Cricetulus griseus: one gene and its partner. The protein of the gene in region 2 purifies or fractionates together with the protein of the main gene of each other region. This does not show direct contact. Links are inferred from orthologs where the notes say so. Each region holds a gene or a part of one and is shown on either strand. Other genes may lie near its edges.

Region 1 (3,997 bases), on a different chromosome or scaffold from region 2:
CCTTGGCTTCTCTTGATGATGGACTGCAGCTTGTAAGCCAAATGAACAGTTTTCTCTCCCAAGTTGCCCTTGGCCATAGCATTCATCACAGCAACAGAGAAGTGAACTAGGCCACTGCCTAAATAAAATTACCCTGCCTGTTTTCAGTCCAACTTTCTGGCTTATTCATGTGATCTAAAGGTGTTCTTTATATATTCTATATACATTTCCTTTATTGGATGTATGCATTGCTTATGTTCTGTCTGTGATTTGCATTTTCATTCATGGTATGGGAGCTCTTAATGTCCATTATGTCAATGAGCAGTTCCCCTTTATAGTTAATAGTTCATGTATTTAAGGAATCTTTACAGCAAGGTATTTTCTGATAATTTCTTTACACCGTTTTACCTTTTATATTTAACTGTAAAATCTATCAGGATTTGATTTGGGGATCAAAACATCTACCGGGATGTTATTTGGGGTGTGGTATGGGGTAGGTACCCTGACTCCATGACCTAGCATCATTTATTGGACTGTACTGTCTCCCAGTGAGCCTCGGCAATAACTTTGACATAAATCAAGCCACCAGATAGTGCAGATGTGTTCCTGGATTCTGGTCCATTGGTCCATTAGTCTGTCTGTGTGTGTTTGTGTGACTTTATAAATAGGTTTGATAACTGCTAGTATGTGCACCTCCACCCACTTGGCTTTCCAAGTTCGCGTGTGAGAGTGATTGATTTGCCTATTTCCTGGCTTGTTCACTGTGGTTACCTCGTCTTTGTCCCATCAAATTCCTTTAAATTGAAAGCCAGCCAGGTGTCGGAAGATCTGTTGGGTAATTAAATAACGCCGGGAAGTGGGGAGGAGGGGATTAGGTGAGGCTGGCTGGTTGAGTGTGGTTCCGTAAGGAAGAGTTCAACCTACATTTGCTTCTCCGGAGAGTCAAAACTCTCGAATCCGGGCCGAGGAGGGCCAGACAGCTCACCGAATGTAAATGTCGCGGGGGTTCGGCCCAGCCCGACGAATCCGCTGGGCGGGGTGGGGCCGCCAAGCCGCAAATCACCAGTCGAGGGCCAGAGAGCGCGCCGCGAGCTCAGAGCCTTGCTTGCCGCCGCCGGGCCGGGCGGGAGCCGGAGCGGAACGCCGTGCGCACCGACCAGCCGCGCCGGTCTCTCGGCGGACGCCCGCGAACCATGAGCCGCCCACGCTCCCGGAGCTGCTGCGGTGCGGTGCGGGCAGAGCGGCGCTGAGCGCAACCCGGACCCGAGCGCCGCGCGGGGAGGTGCGTGTGCCCGGTGCGGTCCTGCTCAGGCTCCCGGGCTCCCGGGCTCCCTTGGCCGTCCCGAGACCGCACTGGTAAGTTCTTAAGAGCAAAGTTAGGCTCGGGGCAGGGCGCAGCCCGCGTGTTCTCCCCCTGAAGCCCCACAGACTTGGAGTGGGGGGTGGAGGTGGCCAGACTCGTGCCCTCCGGGGTCGTCGGATTCCGAAGCTCCCGGGAGTGGAGCGCCCTGATGTGCTTCCAGCATCTCCACTCTTCGGCTCCGGGACGATACCGTCCCGGGCGCGCTCGCCTCCAGAACCCCCCCCCCCCTCCGGACCCCTTCCCAGTCCTGTCTCGTTCTGCCCGAGGCGGGTCCATATTGGGGAGATGGGGTGGCACAGAGGACTCTGCTGGAAGCCGGAGGCTTTCTCCACTAATCTCTTGGGAAGTTTGCAAAGAAAGTGAAGGAGTCTGCCCAGTAACCGTTGACAACATCTCCCTCCCCTCGCCTTCCCTTTGTTGAGAAAGAATGAATAGTTGGTTGTGTGGCTCCCCTTGAGTCGGGGAGGGGAGGGCAAAAGGAGGGAGGGACGGCTCGCAGCCCATCTTCCTTTACCCGCCTAGTCTACTGCCACTTAAAAAGTTTGATCAGGTGTAGAAACTCACTGAGTGCAGCTGGCAAAGGCAGCGGGTGCTGTGGGACAGCGCATCGCAGGACTGAGGTGTAACAGTCGCTTGAGGGCAAGTGAGAAGGAGTAACCCGTGTCTGGTTTTGCCTACAGCAGTTAGGCAGGAAAAGTAGAGCCCCGGAGTTCGGAAACTCTCTTAAACCTTGACTCTTATCTCCCAAGGTTCTACCGACCTCTCCATGGCAAGTACATTGGCCCAGAGAAGGTCAGTTTGAAGCTGATTTATCTCATGCTGTGTTTCCCCCTGGTGGAGATGAGAGCCTGAAGGAGGCTCTGCAAGGCCGAGTGGGAAGGGGCCTCTAAATCACGGGGAAGCCCACTGGCTCATCCCATTTGCCCACCCGACTGTGTCAGGAAGCCTCCTGAGTATAAAGAAAACAGTTTACCGTGCCAAAAGCTCCCTCAGCGCCCAACACCGACTCCCTCACAAGTGTTGTTAAAAAAAGCCTGACATTCCCAAGATGAGTAACCGAGACATCAGTTCCTATTGATAAAGAAAGAACTGCTTTGTCAGATGGGTGCTAATCTTAAGAACCTTGCCCTGTAACTCCTTCACTGTATTGCTTGAAATACAATCCATGGAAGAATTATTCATACTTCAATCATTTGGCTAGACTTCATAAGTTTACTTCAAAAATAAAAGGATACCCTCCTTGAGAAAAGCCAAGCAAAAGTTCTAAGTGGAGAAGCTAATTTTATCTGTGGGGTAGTCTCATCTGCCTTTGCTGTCCCACTTTGCAGAGAAGATAGGGGCCACTGTCATGGTAAGGGCAGCCGAGGCAGTGACATTTCCAGTTTGAAATATAAAAGTTCTTGAGGCCCTTCCATCAGATTGCCATGTGTGAGTTCAATTTGAAAATATCCTGTTTCAGAACTGGAGAAGAGTCTAAGCAAGTGTGCTGTTTATCTTTGCTTCAGCTTGCAAGATCACCAGGTTTTGCTGTTTTGTTTTAGCCATCTTTGTAGAGTAAGTGAGCTGGACCAAGCTTGTTAACTTTTCTAAGCTTGGTGGCTGACTAGAGTCAGGAAGGCAGGCAGCAAGGCTGCTTTAGAGTTTGTTGTGAGGCCATCCTGTCCTCAGCATTCCTACTCTCCTGCTTCCCCTATCAGGATGTAGCATCTGACCTTGTGTGTATTTCAGGGTCTGTCAGTCAAGGCGGTTGGGTCAAAAGTCTTTGCTGGTGTTTGTTTGAAAGCTCGAATATGGTTCACTTGGTGTCTATGCCCTTTTGTGTCTGTGTCCTCTTGGCCTGGTGTGTTTACATCTGTTGTAGGTTGAAACATCTCGCTCCTCACCCTCCCCAGCTGCAGTGTTTTCTCGTGTGAACTCCAGCGGGGACACAGTGACTAAGTAGCTATGCAGACACCGGCCCTGCCCTGATCGGAGGAGATGTATTCTTGCTTGCTGTGCACCAGAGACTTCATTATACATGATCACATTTAATTTTCCCAGCAGTCCCTGAAGACAGGATTGTTAGCACATTTAAGAAATGGTGACTGACTGTTAGAGAGTGGTGTAACTTGTCCCAAGCCTCATAGCTACCAAGGCAGAGGCAGGGCAGAGGTTTGAAGTAGTAAATACTGGCTCTGAAACACAGGTTCTGAGGCATGCCATTTTGATTTTCAGAGACCAAATGGTACATAAGATTGTTGAATTACTACTGGCATCAACACAGAAACATCTGCCAGTGAGGAAGAATATGTGGGACTCAAGAGTTCAGATCCTCTGTGGATCTGTTCTAACTAGTTATTCCTAGGCTTTTGCATTTGTTGCACTGGAATCCTTCCCCTGCCTGGCACTGCCTTCAGATCTTTTCTTGCCTGGTCCCTTATCTCTTTTCTCAGGTCTCATGTCATTGTTAACTCTTGAGAAAGGGCCTGCCAGACCATCATATCATAAAGTTATCTTTTTCTACAGCCAGCATCTCTTAGCTGTTGTGCTTTGTTTTGAATTCTTTGGAGTACTTACAGCTTGGGTATTGCCTGGTTTATTTTCTTGTTTATGTGCTTTGGCGGACACCCGACATTACAGGCATCTTGAGAGCATACCCTTATTATGGCCCCTCCC
Region 2 (3,202 bases):
GGAGGCTAGGTACCCTCAGCCGGATTTCTTAGCGACAGATCACCTAGTCCTAGTTCCTTCTTTATATGGGCAGGGAAACTGAGGCCCACATTCACATGCACAATGGTCAAAGACGAGACCGCCAGTAGAGTGCCAAACACACACTAAACTCCCACAAGCAGCAACCTGGGTCAAGCAAGCCTGTTCTTGGTCTCCGTCTTTCTAGCTTGGAGGCCAAGTCCCTTTTAATTCAAGGAAGACACTTTGGGTGTCCCAGACTGGAGTTCTGTGAGGCTGTTTTGTGCAGTGCCTCTGTGCACTTGGCACAAAGGATACTGCCACATTATCTCCCCACCAGGCCAGCCCAGCCCTCCTGCCTTTCCCCAGGTCCCTGGGCATTGATTTTCTACTGAAGGGTCCACTCTTCTTTTACCCTCCCAGAATCTTCACCATGTCTAGTCATTTTGGTGGGTCAAGGATACATCTACCTCCCCACATAGAGGATGTCTCAAACATCTTTATAGGCTGCTTCTCATTTTTAAAATTTTATTAAATGTAGACTATTAGTCAAATGATTGGAAAAAATCAATAGTGAAAAATAGTTCTTTAGGGTTTTTTTCTTGGTGCAGAGGTGCACACCACACTGTGCTTGCCTGTCACGGGGAGCTCTGCGGGTGGGGCCCATGTGCCTCCACCCTGGCCCCAGCCTGGTGATTAGCAGTCCACAGTGTACTCTTGTCCAGCTCCTCTGAGGAGGCAACCCACACCTGCCTTGCTATAAATATGTACAAATCCCTGGACAGTTGAGGGCACCAGGCCCAAGGCAGAGCTGGGGTTACCTGTCCCCAAACCTGCAGGATATTCACTTTCAAGACAGATGCTTGGGTAGCTCGGACCATCACTGCCCACTCCCCAGCCTCTATACCCTAGTCCTCTGTTCTCAGGCAGCAGCCAGCTGGCCCAGGACCCGGCGGAACTGCTGAGTGCTGTGACCCAGCTCCTTGACCCTGTCTACCATGTCCTGGGCAGCAGAGGGTGATGGGTACTGCAAGGCAGCAGCCTTGGTGGTGGCCACAATGCCTCGCAGGAGGTCACACAGCAGGTTGCTATAGTGGGTCACCTGGCTGCGCACATCAGCTGCCTTTGCCTGCCGTGACAGTGTGTCCCCAATGAACACCAGCTTATGTGCACTGAGGATGACAAACTTGCTGTGTGCCACAAAGATCTTGGGTGGCTGGTTGGTGGCCACTGCAGTGAAGAAGGCATCTACTGCATCTGTCAGTGTGGTCAGGTTGGCCTCGCACTGCTCCAAGTAGAAGAGCAGCAGCTGTCGGTCTGAGGGCCCCAGGCCCCCTGTCCGCCCTGGCACCAGGGGCTGGGCTGGTGTCCAGTTGGCCAGGTCATGGTCTATAGGACGAGATACCTCCTGCTCCAGTCGCTCAAACTGTTTCAGCTGTGGAAAGCATGACAAGGTTAGGCTCTCAGCTGACAGACATGTGCAAACATCTGTACCATCAGAGCATGCTCACTAAAGGAAAGCAAACCACCAGTGTCAGTGACAGCATTACTGGCTAAGGACAAGCTGGAGACTGCACAGGAAAGATAGCCTGCACACCAACTTCTTCAAACAATGGCACTCCACAGCTACACGTGCATTTCTATTTTAACTGCTATTACTGGGAAGGGATAGTTTGCCACATATCCTGGCTGGCCTCAAATTTATGATCCTTTTGCCTCTGCCTCCTGAGTGCTGGAATTACAGGAGTATGCCCGGCTTATTTTTAATTGTTAACTTGTGTTTCCTTTCACTTTTTATGTGCCACACACTTCCCAAGCAGTTCACACACTACTCATTTACTGCCAACATCATACCTGTAAGGCAGTTACCAGCTGTAAGCCCCACCTGGTGTCAGGGTAACCAGTGAATAACCCATCTCAGGGTGGGATAAGCTGTCCTTTGCCTTCCTTCTCAATACCCAGAGAAAGGACAGCGAGAGTTTTCATATTTATTTAGTGCTGTTATCTTCGCAATCAAAATCAAATATCTTTAGTATCCTTCGAAAATACTTTCTTACCCTGGGAAATGATTTAAAATATGAAGAAAATTGTGGCTGAACACAGCACTATTATTTATATGGAAAACTAGATACAATGTAAACATTCAACAATAGACATTATGTGGCCTATAAAAAGGAGTTATGAACAGAGTTTTAAGTCTGAGGAATGCTGCAGACAGAGGCAGAGTGTGACTGCTCACCAGTGTCATCTCGGGCAGGCACAGGGAGGCACAGCTTGTGGAGAGGAGCTGACCAGTGGGGAGTGGCTTGTCTCAGCTTCTGTACAGCCTCTGGCTGCCTGTGCTTTCTAATCCTACACTGCCTCTGTGCTCTCTACAACGGACTCATTACTCTGACAGTAACTTCGTTTGTGTTTTATTGCTATGCCTGTGATGTCTCAAGCATGCTAGTCAATTGCTGCAGTCACAGCTACTCAGGAGGCTACAGTGGGAGGGTTAGCTGAGCTCAGGCAGAGTTCAAGATGAGGCTGGGCAACAGAGTGAGAATGCCATCTCAAATTAATTAGCCAAATTAATTAGTCAGAAGGCAGTGATGGCTACGATGCCGGATAGTGACTGGCTGGGTGGAGGGCAAACAGGGCTCTCTATTCCTGTCGGGTCTCACCGTAAGGTGACTACTGGGAGCCTCACCTGCTGCAGCTCCAGTTGGCCTTTTCCCTGCCGCATTATGTTCCCCTTTTCTAGTAGCTCCTTCTGTGTCTTCTCAAACTCCTCCTTCCCCTGCAGGGAAGAGACAAAACACTGACTGAGAAGTCTCTTCTGGGACAGAGGCACCAGCAAGTACCATGGGTGCAAGGGCCAGGGAACCACCAGGTGGCAGTGTAGGCACACCAGGCCCAGAAGAGGCAGCTTGTAAAGGAAGCAGCCCCTACAGGAAGGGTCTGGTGCAGGAAGGTAGCTTTGTAGAGGGTACAGTCATTCTACAATCCTTCCCTTAGTCTACAAATGGAATGGCATGCAGGTGTCTTCTCAGAGGTCATTCTCATCCTACCTCCCTATTCCCCTTGTCCTATGTCATCTAGACTCTACCATCTGTCTCCTCAGAATGTTTCTACATAGAATGGAGCCACATCTATGGCCACTAGGAAAGCCCATTCCCCAAGGTGTTCTGGAGCCATCCTGATTGGTCCCTCAAGGCCCAAAAAC

The links. The genes of interacting proteins can lie anywhere in the genome.
Region 1: the proteins of Bcar1 (region 2) and breast cancer anti-estrogen resistance protein 3 homolog purify together in Homo sapiens (co-immunoprecipitation; 4 studies listed by BioGRID and IntAct, counting the BioPlex papers as one, with this or other methods). This does not show direct contact. The link is inferred for Cricetulus griseus from reciprocal best matches to the Homo sapiens genes BCAR1 and BCAR3.

What each region holds. Positions count from the first base shown.
Region 1 is NW_023276806.1:36,085,011-36,089,007, reverse strand, and holds the start of breast cancer anti-estrogen resistance protein 3 homolog, read left to right. Parts: upstream 1-1,197; 5' UTR 1,198-1,335; intron 1,336-3,997. UniProt on the Homo sapiens protein: Acts as an adapter protein downstream of several growth factor receptors to promote cell proliferation, migration, and redistribution of actin fibers.
Region 2 is NC_048596.1:188,120,776-188,123,977, forward strand, and holds the end of Bcar1 (breast cancer anti-estrogen resistance protein 1), read right to left. Parts: intron 2,777-3,202; coding exon 2,687-2,776; intron 1,433-2,686; coding exon 920-1,432; 3' UTR 501-919; downstream 1-500. UniProt on the Homo sapiens protein: Docking protein which plays a central coordinating role for tyrosine kinase-based signaling related to cell adhesion. Implicated in induction of cell migration and cell branching. Involved in the BCAR3-mediated inhibition of TGFB signaling.